Mus musculus: one gene and its partners. The protein of the gene in region 1 purifies or fractionates together with the protein of each later gene. This does not show direct contact. Links are inferred from orthologs where the notes say so. Each region holds a gene or a part of one and is shown in the gene's direction. Other genes may lie near its edges.

Region 1 (3,500 bases):
CTTTCTCCTAAGGCTATTTCTTAGCTCTATTGAAAGGGAGTTAGGGAGGGAGAGTTAGAAGTCTGGCAGCCACAGTGAAAGCGTAGGGCAGAGGCTACCCCAGAGAGTCATCCACACCAGGCCCTTGGGCCTCTTGGGCGTTTCTTGATAGCCAACACAGGGCACAGAGTCGAGCTGTTAGGGAAGGTCCAGAGGTTGAAGTCTCTAACTGAAAAACTCAGCCTGCTTCCTGGAGCCCAACAATGCAGGCAGCCTCTGAGCAGGGCCCAGGCCTGGTGGCCTGTCTTTCCTGTGAGGCCCCTGGCCTCCACAGCTGACCACCGGCACTTGCTTTGGGGTTCTGGTGAAAACCTGTGCATCTTGCTGGGTTTGGCGGTGAGTGGTCTAGCTGTGAGACCACTTGGCTGGAACCGGCATGGACCCAGAGGCAGTAAGATCCAGTCTAGGCATCCCTGCCAGTCACCCACCTTGGTTTCCTCCTGAGGATCAGATGAGGCATTACAGTAGTTAAGAGACATGTGGGTGCACTCTAAACTTGTCATCACACCCTTCAAGGACCCGTGAAGCCATTGTGCTCCGTAGATCCTTCTTAAGATATGGAAACTGAAGGTTAAAGAAATAAGCAAATTTTCTAAAGGTTGTATAACAGGTAAGCTAAGGAGATAGAATTTCCTTCTTAGATACTATGCCTTTCTAACCAGTAGGATAGTACTCTGCTGGAAAAAAATCTTTTTTTTTTAAGATTTAGTTATTTATTATATATGAGTACACTATAGCTGTCTTCAGACACACCAGAAGAGGGTATCAGATCTCATTAGATGGGTATCAGATGGTTATGAGCCACCATGTGGTTGCTGGGAATTGAACTGAGGACCTCTGGAAGAGCAGTCAGTGCTCTTAACCACTGAGCTATCAGTCCAGCCCAAAAAGGGTTTTTAAATGGGCTTGCAAGCCTACTTACCAGGAGAGCGGGGCCTGACCCAGTGGGAAGGTGACCTTCCAGAAGAATCATTTTCCTTGAGTTGAGAGGTGACAAAGTGACGTTAGGGTCCATACCGCACATCCTTTGAGAGGTTGTGAATGCTTCAGGTGACAGCTGACTATCCCTGAAGCCTGATTCAGGTCTACACTAGGCCCTGGCTTGGGGGTTAGCCACGCGTCCTGCAGGCTTCCCTAGCTGTCCTCTCCTTGCAGCATGATGCACAGATGGACTACTACGGCACCCGCCTAGCAACCTGCTCCTCGGATAGGTCCGTCAAAATTTTCGATGTGCGGAATGGAGGGCAGATCCTCATCGCAGACCTCAGAGGGTAAGTGTAAACACACATGGAGAAGGCCACAGGGTAGCTGGATCCTCAGGCCTGGGAGGAAAGGGGAGAGTACAGATTCCCTGCAATCTCAGAGTACATTTAGCAGTGAGCCCTTAGCAGAGGTGCAGGTAAGGCCACAGATACATTCAAGTATGATCCCCAGTTCTATCACCAGGAGACCTGGGAAGTGAGGCACTTTGTCTCTTGAAGCCCTCCCCTGCTTAACCTCAGATGGGATAATCCTGACTCTATCCAGGGCCCATCCTCAGTATCTTTGATGTGGGCAACACTGCCATGTTCAGAAGCAATGAGCACTACAGTACCAACCTGCACACATTTATGCATTTCACCTAAAGACAATTTTGTGGAGTTTTCTCCTTCTACCTTTCCATGGCTTCCAGGGATTGAACTCTGGCAGACACAGCAAGGGCTTTACCCACTAGGCCATCTCGCTGGGCCCATAAGACAAACTTTACACATCCTCTTGTTCTGTTTGCCCATAGCAGATAGATGGCCAGGGATTATTTAAAAGATGTTTGCTTTTCTCTCACCCTCTAGCCCTTGGGGTCTTGGCTCATTTTCAAGGTCATATCTCTGTTTTCCTTCAGAGGTTTTGACATAGTATAGGTTCCTTACCTGGGTACCTGGGTCTGCTAAAATTCCGTGAATAGGGTGACAAGTTTGGCAAACTGGGACAGAGAAGACAATCACATTTATTTACATGACTCTGAGTTTACCATTTCCTTCTATTTTGGATGTAGGCTGGAAACTCCAGTAATGACTGTAGACCTGTCACTATGTCACCAAGAAAAGTTTTCATCTTACGTGTAGTTGTCTGAGAATATCGTTTGTGCTCATTATGACTTTGAAATTACATGTTTTTAGACCTGCTACTTGTTACTTGGTTTTGGCAAAGAGGCAATATAATGTTAAGTAAGTCATTTCAAGATGCAGAGTTCTCATTCTAAACCTAGTAGAACACAAACCAAATTTAAGTGTGGTGGCACATCTGGCAGGATCACAAGCTCAAGGCTAACCTGAGCTACAGTAGAAGGCCCTGCCTCAAAAAACAAAGACAATGGGAACATTGTGTTGTCTCTCCAGAGGGAACTGGTACTGTGTGTCCCCTGACCCTCTGAGCAGCCTGACTCCCTCCCTTACAGACATGAGGGGCCAGTATGGCAAGTGGCCTGGGCCCACCCCATGTATGGCAATATCCTGGCCTCCTGTTCCTATGACCGGAAAGTCATCATCTGGAAGGAGGAAAACGGCACTTGGGAGAAGACCCATGAGCACTCGGGACACGACTCCTCAGGTATGTAGAGTTGGCGAGTGCGTAGGAAGGTCTTATGGGTGGGAAAAGCCCCGGCTCTGCTCGCATCCCAGACCCTTCTCTTGTTGTTGTCCATCCTTTGGACATTTGTTGGCTTTTTCACTGGTCTATCCACAGCAGAGGTCAGTCCCCAAGACTGACCAGAGAAAGAAGTTTAGTAAGAACAGTGAGGCTTTCCAAGCTCAGCCTTGAATCTCAGGGTGCCTCTCCTCCTTGCTTTGTGAAGACAGACAAATGCTGTTAGGTGTTCATTTGTCCTCATTTGGCCAAATGTCAAAAGACTGCTGGCAGTTCCTGTGGTTTTTAGCGCAGTAGTAGATATAGGATGAAAACCTTCTCACTGTACCTCCTTTCCACAGTGAACTCTGTTTGCTGGGCCCCTCATGACTATGGCCTGATCCTGGCCTGTGGGAGTTCAGATGGGGCCATCTCACTGCTGACCTATACAGGGGAAGGCCAGTGGGAAGTGAAGAAGATTAACAATGCTCACACGGTGAGTCCAGCCCCTGCCTTTTGCATGAAAGAGAGAGCAATTGCTGTATTAAAGTCTTCTGTGCTCCTAGGAAGAGAGTGGGTGTCCTGGCTGAGCAGTGGCTAGGAAGGGTTATAGGTTAGACTTGCTGGAGCCACCTTCTCAGCCCAAAGCAGAGGTGGCACTGGTTTCTACAACTAAGACCCAGGTTGGGGACAGAAGCATAGGGGTACTTTGACCAGCCACCTGGCTACAGAAGCCTGAGGCTGACAAGCACTGTGGGTCCCCAGAACTCAGTGAGTTTTAAAGACTGGCCTAGATATCTAGTTCCTGTGCTTTCTGGTCCTTGGACCTTAGGTATGAAATAGGCCAGAAAGCATGGTGT
Region 2 (3,500 bases), on another chromosome or scaffold:
TGAGTTTGATCTCCAACACACCCACAGAGTGAGAGGGGGTTGCTCAGATTTATTCCTTTGAAAATGAGCAGTCAAGGCTATGAAACCTAGAGCTAGATTTTCTGAGGTTTTTCGTTTGTTATTTTATGTACATGGGTGTTTTGGTTGCATGTATATTTGTATACACTTGTGTGCCTGGTGTCTTAGGGGACCGGGAGATGGTATCAGACCCTCTAGAACTAGGTTGCAAATTGTTGGGAGCCACCATGTCTGTGCTGGGAATTGATCCAGGATTCTCTATACAAAGCAGCACATCCTCTTAACCACTGAGCCATCTTTCTAGCCCTAGATTTTTCTATTTTAAAACTTCAATTCTAGATAGTACTCACAACTTTGTGATATTACACAAAATTTTTTTTTTTGATCTGGTTTTCCTGTTACAGGTTAAGAGGTAGTAATTACATCCTATCTCACACAGCTGCTATAAGGATTTATTAAATCATCTGGTGTAATGTCAGATCCTTAATAAAAATTAACTGCTGTCATCACCTTTTCTATTGCCAAAGACTAAGGTATTTTTTTCTCCGTTATCAGATTTAGCTTCCTGAGCAAACCTGTTGATGAGAACAATCAGCAGGATGGAGAAGATGACTCTCTTGTATCACGATTTTACACTAATCCTATTGCCAAACCCATTCCACAAACTCCAGAGAGTGTTGGAAACAAAAATAACAGTAGCAGCAATGTGGAAGATACCATTGTTGCCTTGAACATGCGTGCTGCTTTGCGCAATGGATTGGAAGGAAGCAGTGAAGAGACGTCATTCCATGATGAGTCATTGCAAGATGACCGAGAAGAGATAGAAAATAATGCTTACCACATACACCCAGCAGGTCAGATTCACATACTTTTTTATATCTTTGAAACAGTTTTTAATTACAGCAATGTGGTCAAAAGAGTCCACTTCTTATAGCCTAAGAGACTGTCCTATCTTCCTAACTTTGTAAATTCAAGTGGATTGTTTATTAGTAAGACCTTACCATAGTGTATTCTATGGAGACTTACCATGTTATGGGTATTCCTTTTAAGAAGAGGACTCTATGGTAAATAAAATCTACAAATCTTAGGTTAAGCAAAGTTTAGTAGACTATATTACATTTAAAATGTTTTTGTTTTTCTGTTTGTGGGAATAGAGTCTGGGTCTTGCTCATGCTTTCTTCAAACTTGCAGTGACCCTTCTGCCTCTGCACCCCAAGTTCTGCGTTGAGTATGTGGAGGCAAGTTGCTCAGAAGCTCAGGGTCTTGGCTTTGTTTTAACTACAACGCCATACTGACACATAAGACCCTGTCTCATATTGTTATATGAAAATAAAATTAATAGAACTGGTAACTGTTCTACTCAAGTATAATCACAATATTTTTTGACTTTTGGTCATAGGCATTGTTCTCACAAAAGTTGGTTATTACACTATCCCATCTATGGATGACCTTGCTAAAATTACCAACGAGAAGGGAGAATGCATTGTTTCTGACTTCACCATTGGTCGTAAAGGTAAGTGTGAGTTTAAAAGTCATATAACTTAGAGATTGGACCTTGCCTATGTTATTAAGGGCAACTCTAGGTTTTAGAGTCTGGTTTTTTGTTCTTGTTGGGTTTTTTTTTCCCCCCTGTATTTGGTTCTTTCCTGACTTAGACTAATAGAAACATTGACAAGTAATAAAGCAAGGAAGACTAAAACCATGTAGAATTTGGGGGCTTAGACATACCTGTTTGAGTCTGGTAATTATGTTTCCCATAATTCTCCATAATTAAACTTGAAGATATACTAAGTTTTTAATACAGTGATCAATTTTATATTAAATTGTTATGGGTAATTTTCTTTAAATAAACTTACTCTGTGAAGTAGTCTTTTGAATGGGCTCAAGTATTTTAGTTTATGTAGCAGACGAGGAACCAAGTTGTTCATACACTGGCACTGGAGATACTGGGGAAGATTTGAAGACACCAGAAATGTAAAGTGGAGATGTTATATCTGATAACTATATAATGCCATTCCTCGGTCCCCACTCTTGCCATCTTTAGGAGACAGAAAGCTACTCCAAGAATTTCTGGAAGGTTTAAAATACTGATATTAAAGGTTGCATGTTCTCCCTTCCTAATTACTACAGATTAAAGGAGATTTTTGCTCCTTTATGAAGGATCTTTTTTAACCATTTGCTCTGAATTTTAGGATATGGCTCAATCTATTTTGAAGGAGATGTGAATTTGACAAATCTAAATTTGGATGATATTGTGCATATCCGAAGGAAAGAAGTTATTGTCTATGTAGATGATAACCAAAAGCCACCTGTGGGTGAAGGGCTAAATAGGTATGAATTTATTTATATACAGAAATTGGAGTTTTTTCCTGAAAACACAGTCTTTCTATAAACTTTTATTGTTTGTCTACTCTTATTTGAAAGTATAAATGGTAATGATGCTCTGTGACTTTAGGACTCATACCTTTCCCTAATGGTAATGTGTTCACATGCTATTTTCAGGAACTTTCAACAATGGAAGTTTGCCTTTGCTTAATTTTGCTTTTCAGAGGTAGAGATTAAACTAGGGCCTCATACATGTTGAAAATCACTCTGCCAGTGAGCACCAACTCCAGAAAGTTTTCTTGTTTTGTTGTATTTCTTCTTGTTCTGCCACTGGTACACTCAACTATTTAAATGTGAGACTAACGTTTATTTTGTTTTGTAGGCATTCTGTTGCCATATATTGCTTGGATATGGTGGGAGGTTAGATAGCTCGCACTGTAACCGGTGTGGTGTTGAACCCTAACTTAGCTTTGATTCACGGCATTCCTGCTTCACCTCCCCTGTGCTGTAGTAACACTCCTGTACTGCTACATCCATCTTCCTCTGGATAAGATGTGTGATTGGTAAAAGTCACATTTGCAGAACTCCAGTAAACAGCTTGTTTGAGGGCTGGGAATAGGGGTGAAGGCTGGAGAGCTGGCTCAGAACACTTGCTGCTCTTGGCAGAGGCCTGTGTTTGGGTTCCCAGCAACTCACAACTGTTTGTAGCGCTGGTTCTAGGGAATTCTATTCTGTCTTGTGGCTTTCATAAACATGAGCACACACATAGAGTACATACATATATGCATATATGCAAAATACCCGACACTAAAACAATCTCTAAAAATGACATTTTTACATCTTTGGTCATGGTTGCATTTAATTCTTTTTTTTTCTTTTTTTTTTTTTCTTTTTTTTTTTTTTATGTATAAGTACACTGTTTTCAGACACATCAGAAGAGGACAATTGGATCCTGGTACAGATGGTTGTGAGCCACCATGTGGTTGCTGGGAATTGAACTCAGGACCTCTAGAAGATCAGACAGTGCTCGTAATCATTGAACTATCTCTCCAGACCTACATTTAATTCTTTTCTGCAGAAAGTATTCATTTATGGGTAGATGGATAAAGTGTAGCATGTATATATGAGGAATTATTATTATTCAGTCTTACAAATGA
Region 3 (3,500 bases), on another chromosome or scaffold:
TTCATACACCTGGCATGCACTCTGCTGACTTGTGTAGCCCAGGCTATGTATGTGCTCAAATACGTGTGTATCCTTGAGTTTCTGGTCCTCTTGCCTCTACTTCTCAAGCTCAGGGTTACAGACACGATTACCAGGCTTGTGGTAATTCAGTGCTTGGAGCATCGAGCACTGAATTTTAGCAGAAATTGATGCAGAAGCCGTGGAGGAGCCCTGCACACTGCCATACTGTCGTGGCTTGCTCAGTCTGCTTTCTTTCTTTCTTGTTTTTTTTTTAAAAAGATTTATTTCTTCAGACACACCAGAAGAGTGCATCAGATCCCATTACAGATGGTTTTGAGCCACCACGTGGATGCTGGGAATTGAACTCAGGACCTCTGGAAAAACAGTCAGAGCTCTTAACCACTGAGCCATCTCTGCAGCCCCTCGGTCTGCTTTCTTACAGCAGCCAGGACCGCCAGCTTCGGATGGCACCTCCCATATCAGTTATCAACTGAGAAAATACGCCACAGGCTTGATTACAACAGTAGTGCTTTTAACCTGAGCCGTCTTTGCAGTCCAGACTTATTTTAACCATGTATGTGTAGGTGCATATTGGTGCAGGTACCTGTGGGAATCAGAAGATGACATTGGGTTTCTTAGAACCAGAATTGCAGCCAGTTGTGAGCCATCTGATAAGGGTGCTGGGTACTGAACTCTGGTCCTTTCCAACAGTAGTACGCACTTTAAAACCACTGTGACAAAGCTGTTTGTTTGTTGTGTGGTATGGTGTGACCACATGAGTTTATATGTACTGGAGGCCAGAGCACTCAGAGCTCCTGGAATTGATGTTGCAGCCCGTCTCCTGTCTTTTGATTTCTCTCTTTCTAGCATCAAGATACGGTTCCATGTCATCTTGTATGTCATTTCATTTTTTTTGTAGATTGGTTCGAGTGAGTAAAAATTACCGTTCAGTCATACGGGCCTGTATGGAAGAAATGCATCAGGTTGCAAGTAAGGACCCTGTGTGTGTTTGAAGTACGTTATCTGGTGCTGTTTTCTCCAGAGGCCTTTAAGGAGGCTGCTGTGCAGTTCATAATAGGTCCTTGTTTTAATGTGTGATCCATAAGCGTTTCACATGAAAATGGGTGGGTGGTAAAAGAAACCAAGGCAAAAACCGTATGGGGCTTCTGAGGGCTTAGGAGATGAGCTACATTCAGTGCAGGTTGATTGACTTAAGGTGTTTTGTATTCTGCTAGTTGCTGCTAAAGATCCAGCCAGTGGCCGGCAGTTCAGCAGCCAGGTAAGGTGTAGCTGCTTTCATTGTATTGGCAACATCGTGTTAGTGCGTAGGGTGGTGGCTTTGTGGTCCCTGTTGCAGGAGGGCTCTCCTTTTCAGGTAGATCAGCAGCTCTTTGGGATGGCAAGTATGGCTTTGAAAGTGTTGGTCAAGGTTTTAGCCCATGGGAACTCAGGGTTTTCATTGCTTGTGGAAAAGATGAGTCCTAACACATGGTGTTTGTGAGTTGTCACTTGAGATGGAGAACCGAGCTTCTAGGACTACTGCTTGGTCTCATGAACTCAGAATTGTTGTCAAGCAGCATGTGGTTATAACTCAGCAGGACTAGAAGGCGACATCTAGGACTCTTTCCTCAGTGAGACCCCAGAGCTTTTCTAACTCATGAACAGGGAAAATAGGCTTTCTCTGATGGGCACAGTATGCTCTCCCCCTGGAACAAGGGGTGATGGAGGGGGGTGGGGTGGGGTGGGGGACGTTCATCTTCCTAAAGCATCTTAGGTTGGGCTTTGCTTTTTCGGTTGTTGCAGTGCCTGGTCTTGGTTCCAGTGTTGTAGGTGTGCTAAGTATGCACACTGTTGCTGAGCTATGCCCTCGGCTGACATGTCACCTTTTTAAAACAGTTTTTATTGTGTGTATGTATGTACAAGCGTACCTGTGCATGCATGTGGAGGACAGAAGAAGATGTTGAATGTCCACTCTCTCTGCTCATTCTCTTTCTTCTTGATCCTGGGAGTTGTGTTATTTTGGCTATGCTGGACACCAGCAAGCTGCAGTGACCCTCCTTTCTGTTCCCTTTGTAGCTGAGGCCTCAGATGTGCTCAGGTCTCCAGCTTGTTATCTGTGTGCTATGATCCAAACTCTGCTCCTGATGTGTGCACAGCAGAGTCTATTGACTGTGAAGCCATCTCTCTTGCTGTCTGTTGCTTTGCATTCGAGTTTCAGTAATAGTTTCAGTTAAAACTAGTCTCCGTTTCTTCCCTAGGTCTCCATTTTGTCAGCCATGGAGCTCATTTGGAACCTGTGTGAGATTCTCTTTATTGAAGTAGCACCAGGTAACCCCAATTTGTTTGTTTCATGTAGCCTCACTTAGCCCAGGCTAACTCTGTCTTAGCATCACAGGGTTCCTGTCGTCCTCTGTCCTTCCTAGTTGCAGGGAATAAATAGCCCTCTGTCCAGTCAGGTCCTCTGCTATAAATCCACGTCCGTGTCTGTACTTGGGTGGAGTGGAGATGCCGCAGATGAAGCTGAGCTCTTTTGTGTGACATGAGTCTCTCCTCAGCTGGCCCTCTCCTCCTTCACCTTCTTGACTGGGTCCGACTGCACGTGTGCGAGGTGGACAGTTTGTCGGCAGATGTCCTGGGCGGTGACAACCCAAGCAAGCATGAAAACTTCTGGGACCTGGTGAGTGTGCGCGGACGGCAGCCGCCCGCCCTGTGCACTCTGCGCGCTGCAGTCGGCTGACTGGGAGGACCCCTGCTCCAGCCTTGGCTCAGCTCTCTGAGTTTATGATTGTGGAGTAGGTTTTGCATCTTTCCTTCTCTGCTCCAGAGCAGTTTAAAACTAATTTAGCACGGGGAGCGGTGCTTGGTAAACTTGCCGTCGTTTCAGGAGGATTTTGTTTGTAGGTCTGAGGAAGAGAGGTTATAAGGGGACCAAGCGGTTGATGGGGTGCACATGAGCATAAGTGGTCTGAGGTAGAACACTCTGGGGCAACAGTTCACAACCTGTGGCTCATGCTCCCAGGGGATTTGCATATCAGATGCTTACATTACTATTCATGACAGTAGCAATGAAATAATTCCATGGCTGGAAGTTAGCACAATGTGAGCTCTGTTAAAGGGTCTGGGCACTAGGAAAGCTGAGGCGCACTGAGGAAGGACCTTGAGGTGGCATTGTAGTGAGTGCCTACATAGCATCTGGGAGACCGATCTCCAGCACCACAAGGCGAGAAAGGATCTTTTTGGTTACTTTGTTGGCTTATTTTGTTGAATTTATTTATGTATTTTAATTCAGGGTTTCTTTGTGTAGGCTTGTCTGTCCTACCAGACTGGCTTGGAACCCACAGAGATCCACCTGCTTCTGTCTCCTAACTGCTGAGATTAAAGGTGTGGCCACCATTGCCCCATTATTTTTTTCTCCATGAGACAGGGTATCTCTGTGTAGCCCTGGCTGTCCTGGAACTACTTTGGTTTGCTTTTTGAGACAAGGTCTCACTGTGTAACCC
Region 4 (3,500 bases), on another chromosome or scaffold:
ACCTTAAGACTACATCTTTTTTTTTTTTTTTTTTTTAAGATTTATTTATTTATTTTATGTATGTGAGTACATTGTTGCTGTCTTTGGACACACTAGAAGAGGGCATCGGATCTCATTACAGTTGGTCGTGAGCCACCATGTGGTTGCCGGGAAGTGAACTCAGGACCTTTGGAAGATCAGCCAGTGTTCTTAACCACTGAGCCATCGCTCCAACCCCCATCTTTTTTATATTGTCTTTTGATTTAAATTTGTTGTTTCCTCACCATTCAGTGTCTAAGTACATTCTGTAGATTTTAAGTTCAGTCTGTAAAGTCTTTGCCGTACAAGCAGAAAGACCCTAGCACCCATGAGGAAATGCCAGCTATAGTTGTGCATGCTGTGGTCGCAGTGATGAGGAGACAGAGACGGCTTGCTAGTCAGCCTACCCTAATTCGTGGTTTCCAGGCCAGTGAGAAACACTGCATTCCTGAGAATGACAAGCAAGATTATCCTGTAGGCATACACACATACACATCACCACTCAGATGAACACAGACACGGGTAAAAAATGGAAGGCTTAGCTCACAATATTGTTCTTTCTTTCTGTGTCTCTGCTGAGAGTCAAACCTAAGGCCTGCATGTATTAGGTAAGCCCTTTACCACTGAACTACATCCCCTAACCCCTTTCAAGTGTTAAAAATGACATGGAAAATTATGTGTACATATTCTACATAGCACAATTTGTTGTGATACATTATGGATTATGAGTTTCTTTTTGAATTATTTAAAAGAAAATAACTGAAAGGTTTGTACTTGCAGGGGTATCTGTCTTTCCTGGTGCCATCTTCCTTAGTAGATCATTTATATCTCCTGCCCGATGAGCACCTTTTGACAGAGGATGAGACGACCATATCAGATGGTAATAATTTTTCTATCTAATTGACCCCCTTCCTATATGAACCTTATATTTTATTTCAGTTGATTGATAAAATTACCACTGTGACCTGTCTTGATGAGTTTACCTTAGTCACTGAAGTTTTTTTTTTTTTTTTTTTAAGCTGGAAAGTCTTAAGTACATATGCTATAGAAAAGGGATCCTTTCTATCTAATTACAGATGCTTCTTTTAATGTATTAATCAATAGACTTTCACGGTTTCAGCCATCGATGTTAACATTCTCTCTCATAGATGCAGATGTGGCACGGGACGTCTTATGTCTTATAAAATGCCTCCGGATGATTGGAGAGTCTGTTACCATGGACATGGCAGTTTTGATGGAAACCAGTTGTTACAACTTGCAATCTCCAGAGAAGGCTGCGGAACACATTTTGGAAGATTTGATCACTATTGATGTGTAAGGAGAATTTAGGGTAAAGTACATTTCCTACTGGAATTTGGCAGTGTTGTTATCACAGATTTTAATATATGGTCAAGTATATAAAAAGTCATGGTTTAATGTTAAAGTAATTTTCCTTGATTCTAAATAGGGTTGGGTGTGTGTGTGTGTGTGTGTGTGTGTGTGTATGCTCAGTCCTGTGGAAGAGTCTGACCTTGTACATTCTAGGCAAGTGTTCTACTCTGAAGCCCCTGTTTCAGATGTTACAGAGGGCAAATAAAAACAAATTCATTAAGTATAATACTTCTGTAATCCCTTAAATAAGCATTATGTTTAAAAAAAAAAAAAACACAAGTATTTTCCTAGAATTCATTTTGTGGGTCATTCCTAAAAAGTTGAGAGTGATTTAATGTGGACTCTGAGTGTCTTGTGCCAGAATGATTATCTCCACTACTTTACTGTGAGCAGCACACATAGAGCCTGTCTTAAATGTTGTCAGTAGTAACAGGAATTTTCTAATTGTCATGTAGAGAAAATGTGATGGAAGACATTTGTAGTAAACTGCAAGAGATCAGAAACCCCGTCCATGCCATTGGACTTCTTATACGGGAAATGGATTATGAAACAGAAGTGGAAATGGAAAAGGGGTTCGATCCAGGTAACCAAGGAAACAACAAGTGTGCTTACAGAACTCAGTGATGTGGGCTCGGAGGCTAAGAGGATGGACTGTTCTTCCAGAGGGGCTGAGTCCACTTCCCAACACCCACATCAGGTGACGCACAGCCAGCCCCAGAGGAGTCTGACATCCCTGGTCTGTGCCACCTGCACTCATGTGCACATACCCACATACAGACACACACACATATAGTTAGAACTAACAAAGCCAGGCATAGTGGCCACGCCTTTAATCCCAGCACTCAGACAGAGGGGGGCAGATCTCTGAGTTCCAGACCAGCCTGGTCTGCAGCATAAATTCCAGGCCAGCCAGGACTACACCTAGAAGATCCCTGTCTTTAAAAAAAAAAAAAAAAAAAACAGAATTAAATGATACATTTAATTCCAGTTTTCCTTCTAAATTTATTACATTTATTTATTTTATTTTATGTACATATATGCACACATGCTATGGTACATAGACAAAGCTCAGAGGACAACATGTAGGGGTCAGCTTTTCCCTACCACATGGGTCCTGCGTTAATTCAGTTTATCAGGGTTGGCGGCAGGTTCCTTTACCCACTGAGCCATCTTGCCAGCATTTAACTCCATTTTTTCTTATTAACAGCTCAGCCTTTGAACGTTCGAATGAATCTTTCCCAGCTCTATGGTAGTAGCACAGCAGGATATATTGTGTGTCGAGGTGTGTATAAAATTGCCAGCACTCGATTCCTGATCTGCCGAGACCTCTTGATCTTGCAGCAGCTATTAACAAGGCTAGGAGATGCAGTAAGTACTACTTGAGGGAAAACTCACTCATAAACTCTCAAACTGCATACTCTAGAGACTTGTCTGTATTCACTGCTTCCCCTGAGCTGAGCCTAAGCAGGGCTCTGCAATACCAGCTGAGAGGAGTAGTGGCAGTTCCTTTTCTCAGAAGCAGCTTACAGAAGGCAGGCTTTGTCCTGACTTGCTGTGTGGAGGTGTAGTCTACTGTGACTTGAGGAGTGAGGTGACTGGTCGGTCACATGGCGCCCACAGTCAGGAAACAGAGGGAAAGCTGCCTCTCAGCTCACATTATGTGTGCAGTTGAGATTTAAGGAAAACATTTTAAATAGAGATTATAAATGTGGGCAGTAGATAAAGAGAGATGCTTAGAAAGAAAGATAGCCAAGAGTGTGGTATGGGGTTTTCTAAGAGAGGGCTGCTAGTTATCACTTTGTTCCTTTTATTCGGTGTTCAACCCAGCCAATGGAATGGTCCCAGCTACAGTCAAGATGGACCACCCCTCTTCAGTTAAATCTTGCTTTTATTTTCTTTAGTTTAACCTTTTTATAAACCCAAAGGTATATTTCCTTGATTCTAAATCTCAAGCTGACAAAATTAATCATCATATAAATAGAAATAAACATAATAGAATGCACTTGGACTGTCTGTGAAGCAGATTACTGTTACTAATCAGAAAACAGAAAACATATAGTAGCCAGATACACAAATGTTCCTAGCCTGAAGAAAAGTCAAAGGCCTGTAAA
Region 5 (3,500 bases), on another chromosome or scaffold:
AGTACCCCAGAGCTCATGTCTTTAGCTGCATATGTACCAAAAGATGGCCTAGTCGGCCATCACTGGAAAGAGAGGCCCATTGGACTTGCAAACTTTATATGCCCCAGTACAGGGGAATGCCAGGGCCAAAAAGTGGGAGTGGGTGGGTAGGGGAGTGGGGGGGAGGGTATGGGGAACTTTTGGGATAGCATTGGAAATGTAAATGAGGAAAATACCTAATTAAAATATTTTTAAAAAAGTAAAAAAAAAAGAATTTATACATATACATTACATATACATATAAATACATGAAAGTGCCTGAAATCCATAGCACTTGTACTCTCAAGGATTTAGGTAGAAAATACTCAACGGGTATACATACATACATACATACATACATACATACATACATACACACACACACACTCACACACAGACACACACACAGTGTGATTCTTCATGGTATAGGGTTTTAGGTGTCAATCATACTGATCCTTGTGTTGATTTTGTTGTTTTGTTTACACACTAGTGGGTGAATAGATTTGCACACAGCATAGTACTATGAAAACATAAACAGGGACGCAGAGACGAAGGGCAGGAGTCAGCCTTTGTCAGTGGGTAAACTTGCTCTTCATTACTCTATGTAACATGAAGATTTTTCTATGTGCTTCATATACCTAAAAGTGCATTGACAGCATGAGTAGAAGTGTATAAGTTATTGAGGTGATGCGTGGTTGAAGAGTAGTGTGGGTAGCTTCTGGGCTTCCATGTGGGTGTTTGGCAGAGGTCTGCCCCTGCGTGTATTCATTCAGCCAGTGCCTCAGCACGCTCTGTGGATGAAAACACCACTCGGAGCAGTTTGCACGGCACATTCATTTTTCCTGTGCTCGAGCTTCTCGTGTAGTATAGTGCATCTTAGATGGCCTCATTTCTCTAGTTACCTTATTTGTAACTTTAGATTTCACTTATTGGTGAGGATGGCTGAGTGTTGAGACGCTGATATGATAGCCCAGCCTTCTCTTATATTCAGAATACTTCTACCTCAACCTTCTGTGCTGGGATTACTGGTGTGAGCCACCACACCTGACCTTCTAGTATCCTTTTAAATAGAACTATCCAGTGCTTTTACAAGGATTTATTTACTGGGCATGGCGATGCATGTCTTTGATCTAGCACTTGGAAGGCAGATCTCTGTGAGTTTGAGGCCAGTCTGATCTACATAGCAGGTTCCAGGCCAGCCATGGCTATATGATCAAACACTGTCTCATTTTTAAAAAATTATTATTTGTTGCCAGACAGTAGTGGCACACTCCTTTAATCCTAGCACTTGGAAGCAGAGGCAGGTGGATTTCTGAGTTCGAGGCCAGCCTGGTTTACAGAGTGAGTTCCAGGACAGCCAGGGCTATACAGAGAAACCCTGTCTCGAAAAACCAAAAAAAAAAAAAAAAAAAAAAAAAAAAAAAAAAAAAACCAAAGAAAGAAGATAAAACTTCCTTCGAAGAAAAATCTACTCAAGAATTTTAGGTTACCAAGAAATTTAAAATAATTCCTTTAATTATTTTAAAATTAGACTATAGCACAGTGGCGGAAGTCAGGATACCAGGACATGCCAGAATATGAGAATTTCCGGCACCTTCTGCAAGCCCCAGTAGATGATGCACAAGAGATTCTTCACTCCAGATTTCCAATGCCGAGATACATTGACACGGAGCATGGTGGCAGCCAGGTGAGGAACACCCTGTGTTGTGTATGCAGGGCTGCCGTGAGGTGATCCTGCTTGTGTTCTGATTGTATTAGGAGCTATCTGCCACTCAAGGCCAAGGGCAAGGGAAGGAGGCAGATGGGAGGGAACAAAGCAATACAGTTATTGCCTAGTTGCCCAAACAGCCAGTTTTTTCTAATTCTGCTTCCATCATAGCTGTTGTAATCGCCATAATGCCATCCAGACAGTGTGCCAGCTGTGGGTTAGCAAAGATACAAGGGCAGCTTGCAAGACAATTTAGTGTGCTTTTCTTAAATTAAAGCCTATGAGGGTTCTAATTTGTTTCAGTTTTATAGAAAGTAACTGTCAGGTTCAAGAAAGCATTGTGGTATTCAAATGGGTTTTATGGTTCTTAGAGCTCAAAGGAGTCGTGCACATGTGGTCAGGCCAGGGCTGCTTAGCACACCTCAGGAAACCTTTCTGAGCAGAGCTGGAACAGTACTCCTAGTGTGAGTTGTCACACATTTTACTTCTTCCATAAGTAAAGCAGGGAGATAGTTTGTTTAGTGTTGTGTCTCTCTCTCTGACACAGTGATGGATCAGCACCGACTTTATGTACAGTGGTGATTATTAGTTTTACTGTGTTTATAACAGGAGCTGTCTATCATGTACGGAGACTTTGCAAGCATTTTCCATGCCTCCTTCATTTGAGCCTCATACCAATTCTATTATTATCTCTACTTTATATATAATAGAGTTAAGACTTGTTATATGTACTATCAAGGAAGCACATTGAGTGGAGCTAGGTTTTTTTTTTTTTTTTTTAAAGAGATAGTGTCTTAGCTACATAGCTCAGGTGGACCTTGAACATTCTTTCTGCCTCAGTCTCCTAGATACTGAGATTACATTTGTAAGCTTGCCAATCCTAAGTAGGAGTTAATTGAATTCCAGGCTTCTTATTCTAGGACTAGAGCTACTTAGGGAATAGAAAAACATTTTTCAAAAGATTAAATTGCTTTTGTTCTTCTAGAATGAATTAAGATTTTTGATGAATTCATTCATCAATATCTTAATGTGTATTGTTATTTTCCTTATCTAATTACTCATTTATTTATTGATTGATTAGCTGTTGTAGAGGATGGATAAATGTTGCCTAAGTTATCACCTGTGGATTAAAATCATTTTTACGAGGCTTTAGACTTCTTTTGTTTCAGAGTAGTTGATAAAACTGTATTTTCACATTCATTTTAAAATAAGGTTTGTGTTAACAAATAAACATTTGCAGTCTTATTTTTATTTCATGTGTTTGGGTGCTTTGCCTGCATTGATGTCCGTATAACACAAGCATGCAGCACTGGAAGAAGTCAGGAGAGGGAGTCAGATGCCCTAGGTTAAAGATAGTTACAGATAGTTGTGTGTCACCAGTGGGTTCTGGGAATCCAACCAACCCAGCTCTTCTGGAAGAGCAGTCATGCTCTTACCTGCTGAGCCATCTCTCTAGTCCTGTACATACAACTTTTTATCTGTTGAGTTTGGGATTCAGTAGTCTATTATCTTATGAATGCTACAAATATGTAATGTTGGAAGAGTATATTATTTGTATTGTGGTTAATGCATTTTTTTCGGTTGATGCATTTTAAAATTTAACTTTGTAAGTATTACATTTTAACAAAATTACCAAAATATTCAGTTAAGTTGGGTTTAAATGGTATATTGTCTGTAGCTTATCTTACTAAGTCTGTGTTTGATCAGCACTATTTATTTATTTATTTATTTATTTTTACTTTTAAGGCTCGTTTCCTCCTTTCGAAAGTCAACC
Region 6 (3,500 bases), on another chromosome or scaffold:
TTTGCTCCCCAATGTCACCGTGACCAGCTTTAATTAGTTTTCTTAATGGAATCATGTAAAAAAGATATAGAGGTTAGTTCCTTACATATGAATTTAATCATAAAACTTTAAAGAATGTGTCAACATTCAGCTATTTAGTAACAAAAATCATTAGTTTGAGATAAATGTGCTGAGTCTATTCAGAATATAAAAAAAATTAAGGGAAGTAGTTTCTAAACATCAGTATGCTCAAATACAAAGGAAAGGGGAGACTTGTTCTTTCTTCTACAAGGACATGAAATACAACTGAAAAATACTATTATTAGGTAGGCATGGTGGCTCACCTATAATCCCAAACACTTGGAAGTCCTGTTTCAAAAATCAAAAATTCCTGGAGAGAAGGGCTCTTTTGTTAGAACTTTGCTCTGATTAACAGTGCTCATTTCTGATGCCTAGACCCTGTCCGTCAATCAGCAGTGGCCTGCAGCTCATTACCATACAGGTCCCAGCAGTCCCTCCTATAGCAGTGCACCATGTACAGGAATTGTGTGTGACAACCCAGAAATTGTTACAGTTGGAGAGGATGGCCGAATAAATCTCTTCAGAGTTGATCACAAGGAGGCTGTCAGAACTATAGGTGAGGAGTCCTATTTCTTCTATTCATTACATAGTAATTGAACTAAGTAAACATGATCTTAAAAGCTTGAAGGGTGTGAAAATGACACTTGGCAGGATCCTTGTAAAAGATAGTGTACGGATAGTCTGGTATAAATGATTGCTAATAGAACAGAAAGATGTAGTAGGTGGCAGTGTTTGGTTTTAGCTAAAAGGAATTATCACATAACTAGGGAACAAGTGGCAATTAGTACATTCTTGATTCTGTACCATAAATAACACTAATATATGACACACAGAAAACATGGAATAGCTGGGCGTGGTGGTGCACGCCTTTAATCCCAGCACTTGGGAGGCAGAGGAAGGCGGATTTCTGAGTTCGAGACCAGCCTGGTCTACAAATGAGTTCCAGGACAACCAGGGCTACACAGAGAAACCCTGTCTCGAAAAAAAAAAGAAAAAAGAAAGACAGACAGACAGACAGACAGACAGACAGACAGGGAATAGCATGGAGATGGTAAACCTAGACAGCAAATGACAAAGTTTACTGTGAGCTGGCCTTAGATATTTGTTACTGGAGAGATGACAGGTGAAGCCGGAAAGGGAAATTGGGATGGATTGCAAAGGTATTGTGAATGCATAGCAACAGAAGCTAGGGATCTGTATGTGGTAAACAGATTGCTCTTGAACGTCTTTGCACGAGGAATGACTGACACCAGTCGTGATTTGGCCAGTGTTCTAGTGAGATGGCTCTTACTATGCTTCACTAAGACTTGCCTGAGAAGATTCCAGGCCCCCCCACCCTAGACCTGTTGGGTCAGAATCTCCAGGTCTGCACCAAGGCATCAGTTTGTGTTCTTTGTTCTAAGTGCTTAATTTCTGAGTTACAACATTCGCTTAATTGTTAAGAGCTGTTGGCCTGCTAGCAATGTACAGAAGTGGCACAGGTTTAAGTTTGGAAGTATCTATCATGTGCCTCGAGTCTAAACACTTAGGAAATTCAAGAAAAGAATCATTATAAAAGGAAGGTATTGGGCATACTTGTGTAATCTCAGCAGTCTGGAGGATGAGGCAGGAGGATACTAAATTCAAGGTGAGCCTGAACAACATAGTGAAGTCCTGGCTCAAAGCTTCCTAGAGACCCTTTTAGCAACCATGAAGGGGAAGGATGTAGGTGAGGAAGCTGCTGACGAAGGTAAAGATGGGTGGATTTGACATGAGTCTGTCTTGGGGGCTCCTGGGGGTCCCACTTGGGGGTGAATAATAAAGACACAGGCATCTGTATAGTCTAAGTCTGCTAGCCTTTTTTGCTTTGGGACAGTCTCCTGAGCTAACCATCCAAACTGGACCTGACTCCCCTGCCACCGTGGTCCTCCCTCTGTCTCCCTGCTCTGCCCCCTCCCTGTTCCAGCCTTAAGCTCTTTTTTTTTTTTTTTTAAGATTTATTTATTATTATATCTAAGTACACTGTAGCTGTCTTCAGACACACCAGAAGAGGGCGTCAGATTTCATTATGGATGGTTGTGAGCCACCATGTGGTTGCTGGGATTTGAACTCAGGACCTTTGGAAGAGCAGTCTGTGCTCTTAAGCACTGAGCCCTCAAGCTCTTTTTATTGTTACACAAAAGGCATCATTAGCAAGTTAATTTCCGCATACCAAAATTTCTTATTTGATCTAGGGGTTGTCTTGAAAGACCCATCCCCTAAGCAGTTCTTAGCTAAAGGAGACTTCCTAGTTTCTTCCTGGTTTGCCTGGCCTATCTCAGGACTAAACTTTGCAAACCCCATAAAAGTTTAGATGACAACCACTGACAAAAGGCTACTTCAAAGCTTAGGTCCCTTCACTGCAGATTCATGCCAGATACAAAAGCTCGGCTAGAATTTTGCTGTGTGAGTCTGAACAACAGTATAGAATCAGAGTAAGCTTTGTGCCTGTCAGTGGGTAAAGTTTTCTGCCAAGTACTAGCAGAGCTAAGATTGGATAGACAGGAGCTTGAACATCTATCTCAGACACAGTGCCTGTTGGGGTGAGACATAACTATAGTTCCATCACTAGGGAAGCTGAAGGCAGGAGGAAAAGAAAAGTAAAAAGGAAGAATTCAGTATAAAAAACAAACGGCCAATCAGCTCTGCACTTAGAAAACAGATGGCCTGGGAGTGAAGCTTTCTACCAGAGACTGGAAGAGAGTATTTAGACATGTATTTTACTATTTCTTTATTAAAAACTATGCTGAGTCATTAGTCATTTATTTATAATATTTCAACCAGTAGGGGGACGTGGTTTACTTTTGTTTTGTTTTGTGAGACAGGGTTTCTCTGTGTACCCCTAGGTGTCCTGGAACTCACTCTGTAGACCAGGATAGTCTCATGCTCACAGAGACCTGCCTACCTCTGCCTCCTGAGCACAGCGATTGAAGGCAAGTGCTGCCACACCTGGCTGGAAATGTCATTAAAAGGAACCTGTTAACGCATTTTTAAAACTTGCAGATAATGCAGACAGCAGTACACTCCATGCCGTAACCTTCCTTCGAACTCCTGAGATTGTTACAGTAAATTCAATTGGACAGTTAAAAATATGGGATTTCAGACAACAAGGAAGTGAACCCTGTCAGATACTATCACTGTAAGTTTTGTCATCTCAGTATTATGATAAAAAACTTGTTTAATTAGTTATTGTAGTCAACTGTATTTTTATTTGTATGAGTGTTTTGCCTGCTTGTATATCTATGCACCACAAGAATGTAGTGCCCCCAGAGGTCAGAAGAGGGCATTGAAGCCTTAGGACTAGATTTACAGGCAAATAGAATTGCCATGTGGGTACTAGGATTGAACCTGGGTCCTAACTGCTGAGCCATGTCTCTCCAGTCCCCCAGCTTTGCGTTTTAATGAATTTCAGAAACACTGAT
Region 7 (3,500 bases), on another chromosome or scaffold:
CAACTCCATGAACTCCCTCAGGAAGAGCAACACCCTCTGTGATGTGACCTTGAGAGTGGAGCAGAAAGACTTCCCTGCGCATCGGATTGTGCTGGCCGCCTGCAGTGATTATTTCTGTGCCATGTTCACTAGTGAGGTAAATGCAAGTCACTGCTACCTAAGTGAAATTCGCATTGTAACCTTGCAGTCCTCTTATTTCAAGGGACAAAATAGCATGTGTTGGTGATTCAGCTATGGCATTTGTCAGCCAATTGGTCACCATGGTTAATCTTGCTGTCACTGTCACGTGTGTCTTCTGAAGGGGCTGCTCAATCAATGGGGATTTTTTTCCAACACACAGTCAAAAGTCAAAAGTATTGGGGGGGGGCGTGTCTTCCCTGTTAGAACTTCCAAACAAATGCTTAGTAAATAAAATAGAAATTTGAAACCAGATATAGTTGCTCACATTTAACAGTCCTGACAGTGGGAAGATCACCATAAATTTGAGGCCAGTCTGGGCTACAGAATAACACCCACCTGAAACCACTCAACAAGGAAGGAAAAAAAAAAAAAGTCTGGTAAACCAGTGAATCTGTATAATGTGGTAGTCAAATAGGTAAGCTCTGAATAAGACATGTGATGGCTTTCTCCTTCAGATCATCAATAATTGCTGGGCGGTGGTGGCGCACGCCTTTAATCCCAGCACTTGGGAGGCAGAGGCAGTCGGATTTCTGAGTTCGAGGCCAGCCTCGTCTACAAAGTGAGTTCCAGGACAGCCAGGGCTACACAGAGAAACCCTGTCTCGAAAACAGAAACAAAAACAAAAAAGAATTTTGGGGACTGGAGAAATGGCTCAGAGGTTAAGAGCACTGACTGCTCTTTCAAAGGTCCTGAGTTCAATTCCCAGCAACCACATGATGGCTCACAACCATCTGTAATGGGATCTGATGCCCTCTTCTGGTGTGTCTGAAGCAACAGGGTACTTATATACATAAAATAAATAAATATATCTTTAAAAAAATCATCAATAATTATAGAAAATGAGTATGCTACTGATACAGATTTCAGGGTGACTTCCAATGAGGGGAGAGGGGATTTAATGAATGGCTGTGTGGTGTTAACTTAGCCTGGTGAGATAGCACGTGGCTGTAATGCCAGCAGTGGGGAAGTGGAGTTCAAGGCTGGCCTCCTGGTGAGACCCTGTCTCACCCAAACAAGGGTAGGGGATGTAGCTCAGTTGGTCTGATGATTACCTAATATACACAAAGCCACGAGATTAAGACCATCCTTGCCTACATACAGAGTTTTAGGCTATTTGGAACTATATGAGATGTTTTCTCCAAAACCAAAATTACTTTGAGAGAGAGAGACAGACAGACAGACAGCAAGCTGGTTCAATAAGTAAAGATACTTTCCATCCAACCTCATGGACCAGATTCCAGTCCCTGAGACCCACGTGGGGTGTGTATGTGTATGTTTGTGTGTGTGTGTGTGTGTGTGTGTGTGTGTGTACACAAATGTACTTGAGTGTATGTATGTGTTTGTCTGTCTTTTTTTCTTTTTTTTTTTTCTTCTCAAGACAGAGTTTGTTTATGTAGTCTTAGCTGTCCTGAAACTTGCCCTATAGAGCAGACCAGCTTTGAACCCACAGGTCCACCTGCCTCTGCCTCCCAGGTGCTAGGATTAAAGGGATACACCACTATCTTCTGGCTTAAAAGTTTCTAAAAAGTAAATAATATAAGAATATTTAAACTAGTCTTTATAAGTGTTTTAAGTTGAGGTATATGAATAATTATCACATGTTTAAACTTAGACATATATCTGAATTATTTCATTATGCAGGCTTTTTGTTTATGTGTGCCTCCATGAATTTTATGGGCATCATGTACAAGTGGGTACCCTTGGAGTCTAAAGGGCATCAGATGCCCCAGAGCTAGAGTTCCAATGGTTGTGAGCCACCTGACATGGGTGCTGCAAGTGCTTTAACAGTCTCTCCAAGCCTCTGGTATGGGTGTGTGTACATCTGGTTTTGCTTGTTTGTTTGTTTGTTTTGGTTTTTCAAGACAGGGTTTCTCTGTGTAGCCCTGGCTGTCCTGGAACTCACTCTGTAGACCAGGCCTGCCACTGCCTCCCAAGTGCTGGCATTAAAGGCATGCACCACCACTGCCTGGCATGTGCGTCTGTTTTTGAGGAAGAATCTTAATGCCTAAATTGGCCCTGAATACTCCATCTTTCTGCCTCAGCCTCATCAAGTATGGAGATTATGGGTGTGTGTCATCCTGCCTTGTTATGATAAGACTCTATAAAAAGTATCTCTAACCACCAGTATTTTCTTTAGTTAATACCCATCACCATGGGGCTAGAGAGATGGCTCAATGGTCAAGAGCACACTGGCTGTTCATCCAGAGGATCCAGGTTCAATTCCCAGTACCCACATTATGGGTCTAACTCCAGTTCCAGGAGATTTGACACCCTCATACAGAGATACCTGCAGACAAAACACCAATGTACATAAGGTAAAAATTTACAAAAAAAAAAAAAAAAGTACCTGTCAGTGTAATGAAGTAGTTGTTAGACCCAGATAAAAAGGGAAATAGGATAACAGCTATATCTATGGGCCCAGTTAAACTGCCATGTTTGTCATTTACTCTGGGGGTAAATATTGCCATTTCATTTTTCAGATGAAGGGTCTCAACAAATGCCTTTCAATGTCACATCACTTGAAAATACTACATAGAGGTAGGCTTTGCCTCTACAGCATGTGGCTGTAAAAAATGATTCTTAACTGCCATTTCAGCCATAAGGCTGGTAGGAGAAATAGAAAGCAGTCAGGCCGTTGCGGCAAATCCTGACTAATTTAAAAACCATCTTGAATAATACAACAGCACAGATCTCTAGCTTGTAGTGTTCTTCAGGATGTCTGCCCCCAAAACATTAGCATTTAGCTGGGTAGGGAGAGTTAACCAGAAGTGCTGAGCATGAAATGGCCTAAGCCTGCCAACTGCTACTACAGTCCTGCTGAAACAGGACGTGTCCTGCTTGCTGTTGTCTTGAGAACATCTGCCTGCACTGTTTTTTTAACATTGAGAGATTTCTGGAATCTTGGGGGGAGAAAAAAAAAAACCTCATTTCTTTTCATACATGATTCTTCTTTCTTTCTCTTTCTCCTTCTTTTCTTTTCTTTTTCTTTTTTCCTTCCTTCCTACCTTTTTTTCCCCTCTTCTTTTTAAACAGGGCTTTTCTATGCCTGTCCTAGAACTCTTTCTGTAGACCAGGCTAGCCTTGACCTCGAAGATCCACCTGCCTCTGCCTCCAGAATACTAGAATTAAAGGTGTGTGCCACCAACGCCTGGCTAGGGATTGATTTGTTGTTGTTTGTTCTTTTGTTTTTTGTTGTTTTGTTTTGTTTTGTTTTGTTTTGTTTTCAGAAACAAGGATTCTGTGTATAACAGAGCCCTGGATGTCCTGGACTTGATTTGTAGACCAGGCTGGCCTCGAGTTCTGTCTTTGTCCTAGTCTCC

Evidence for each region.
Region 2: the proteins of Sec13 (region 1) and Nup98 purify together in Homo sapiens (affinity purification with mass spectrometry; 4 studies listed by BioGRID and IntAct, counting the BioPlex papers as one, with this or other methods). This does not show direct contact. The link is inferred for Mus musculus from reciprocal best matches to the Homo sapiens genes SEC13 and NUP98.
Region 3: the proteins of Sec13 (region 1) and Nup85 purify together in Homo sapiens (affinity purification with mass spectrometry; 5 studies listed by BioGRID and IntAct, counting the BioPlex papers as one, with this or other methods). This does not show direct contact. The link is inferred for Mus musculus from reciprocal best matches to the Homo sapiens genes SEC13 and NUP85.
Region 4: the proteins of Sec13 (region 1) and Nup160 purify together in Homo sapiens (affinity purification with mass spectrometry; 4 studies listed by BioGRID and IntAct, counting the BioPlex papers as one, with this or other methods). This does not show direct contact. The link is inferred for Mus musculus from reciprocal best matches to the Homo sapiens genes SEC13 and NUP160.
Region 5: the proteins of Sec13 (region 1) and Sec23a fractionate together in Homo sapiens (co-fractionation; 3 studies listed by BioGRID and IntAct, with this or other methods). This does not show direct contact. The link is inferred for Mus musculus from reciprocal best matches to the Homo sapiens genes SEC13 and SEC23A.
Region 6: the proteins of Sec13 (region 1) and Nup43 purify together in Homo sapiens (affinity purification with mass spectrometry; 3 studies listed by BioGRID and IntAct, counting the BioPlex papers as one, with this or other methods). This does not show direct contact. The link is inferred for Mus musculus from reciprocal best matches to the Homo sapiens genes SEC13 and NUP43.
Region 7: the proteins of Sec13 (region 1) and Klhl12 purify together in Homo sapiens (affinity purification with mass spectrometry; 3 studies listed by BioGRID and IntAct, with this or other methods). This does not show direct contact. The link is inferred for Mus musculus from reciprocal best matches to the Homo sapiens genes SEC13 and KLHL12.

Annotation. Positions count from the first base shown.
Region 1 is NC_000072.6:113,734,182-113,737,681, reverse strand, and holds part of Sec13 (protein SEC13 homolog), read left to right. Parts: intron 1-1,194; coding exon 1,195-1,310; intron 1,311-2,473; coding exon 2,474-2,625; intron 2,626-3,002; coding exon 3,003-3,136; intron 3,137-3,500. UniProt on the Homo sapiens protein: Functions as a component of the nuclear pore complex (NPC) and the COPII coat. At the endoplasmic reticulum, SEC13 is involved in the biogenesis of COPII-coated vesicles.
Region 2 is NC_000073.6:102,151,167-102,154,666, reverse strand, and holds part of Nup98 (nuclear pore complex protein Nup98-Nup96 isoform 1 precursor), read left to right. Parts: intron 1-573; coding exon 574-872; intron 873-1,417; coding exon 1,418-1,531; intron 1,532-2,210; coding exon 2,211-2,349; intron 2,350-3,500. UniProt on the Homo sapiens protein: Plays a role in the nuclear pore complex (NPC) assembly and/or maintenance. NUP98 and NUP96 are involved in the bidirectional transport across the NPC. May anchor NUP153 and TPR to the NPC.
Region 3 is NC_000077.6:115,567,444-115,570,943, forward strand, and holds part of Nup85 (nuclear pore complex protein Nup85), read left to right. Parts: intron 1-919; coding exon 920-990; intron 991-1,235; coding exon 1,236-1,279; intron 1,280-2,258; coding exon 2,259-2,328; intron 2,329-2,555; coding exon 2,556-2,677; intron 2,678-3,500. UniProt on the Homo sapiens protein: Essential component of the nuclear pore complex (NPC) that seems to be required for NPC assembly and maintenance. As part of the NPC Nup107-160 subcomplex plays a role in RNA export and in tethering NUP96/Nup98 and NUP153 to the nucleus.
Region 4 is NC_000068.7:90,701,215-90,704,714, forward strand, and holds part of Nup160 (nuclear pore complex protein Nup160), read left to right. Parts: intron 1-798; coding exon 799-898; intron 899-1,166; coding exon 1,167-1,332; coding exon of another isoform or gene 1,333-1,348; intron 1,349-1,844; coding exon 1,845-1,972; intron 1,973-2,596; coding exon 2,597-2,757; intron 2,758-3,500. UniProt on the Homo sapiens protein: Functions as a component of the nuclear pore complex (NPC). Involved in poly(A)+ RNA transport.
Region 5 is NC_000078.6:58,967,018-58,970,517, reverse strand, and holds part of Sec23a (protein transport protein Sec23A), read left to right. Parts: intron 1-1,549; coding exon 1,550-1,705; intron 1,706-3,472; coding exon 3,473-3,500.
Region 6 is NC_000076.6:7,670,504-7,674,003, forward strand, and holds part of Nup43 (nucleoporin Nup43), read left to right. Parts: intron 1-435; coding exon 436-616; intron 617-3,081; coding exon 3,082-3,217; intron 3,218-3,500. UniProt on the Homo sapiens protein: Component of the Nup107-160 subcomplex of the nuclear pore complex (NPC). The Nup107-160 subcomplex is required for the assembly of a functional NPC.
Region 7 is NC_000067.6:134,458,531-134,462,030, forward strand, and holds part of Klhl12 (kelch-like protein 12), read left to right. Parts: coding exon 1-136; intron 137-2,317; exon of another isoform or gene 2,318-2,354; coding exon of another isoform or gene 2,355-2,495; intron 2,496-3,500. UniProt on the Homo sapiens protein: Substrate-specific adapter of a BCR (BTB-CUL3-RBX1) E3 ubiquitin ligase complex that acts as a negative regulator of Wnt signaling pathway and ER-Golgi transport.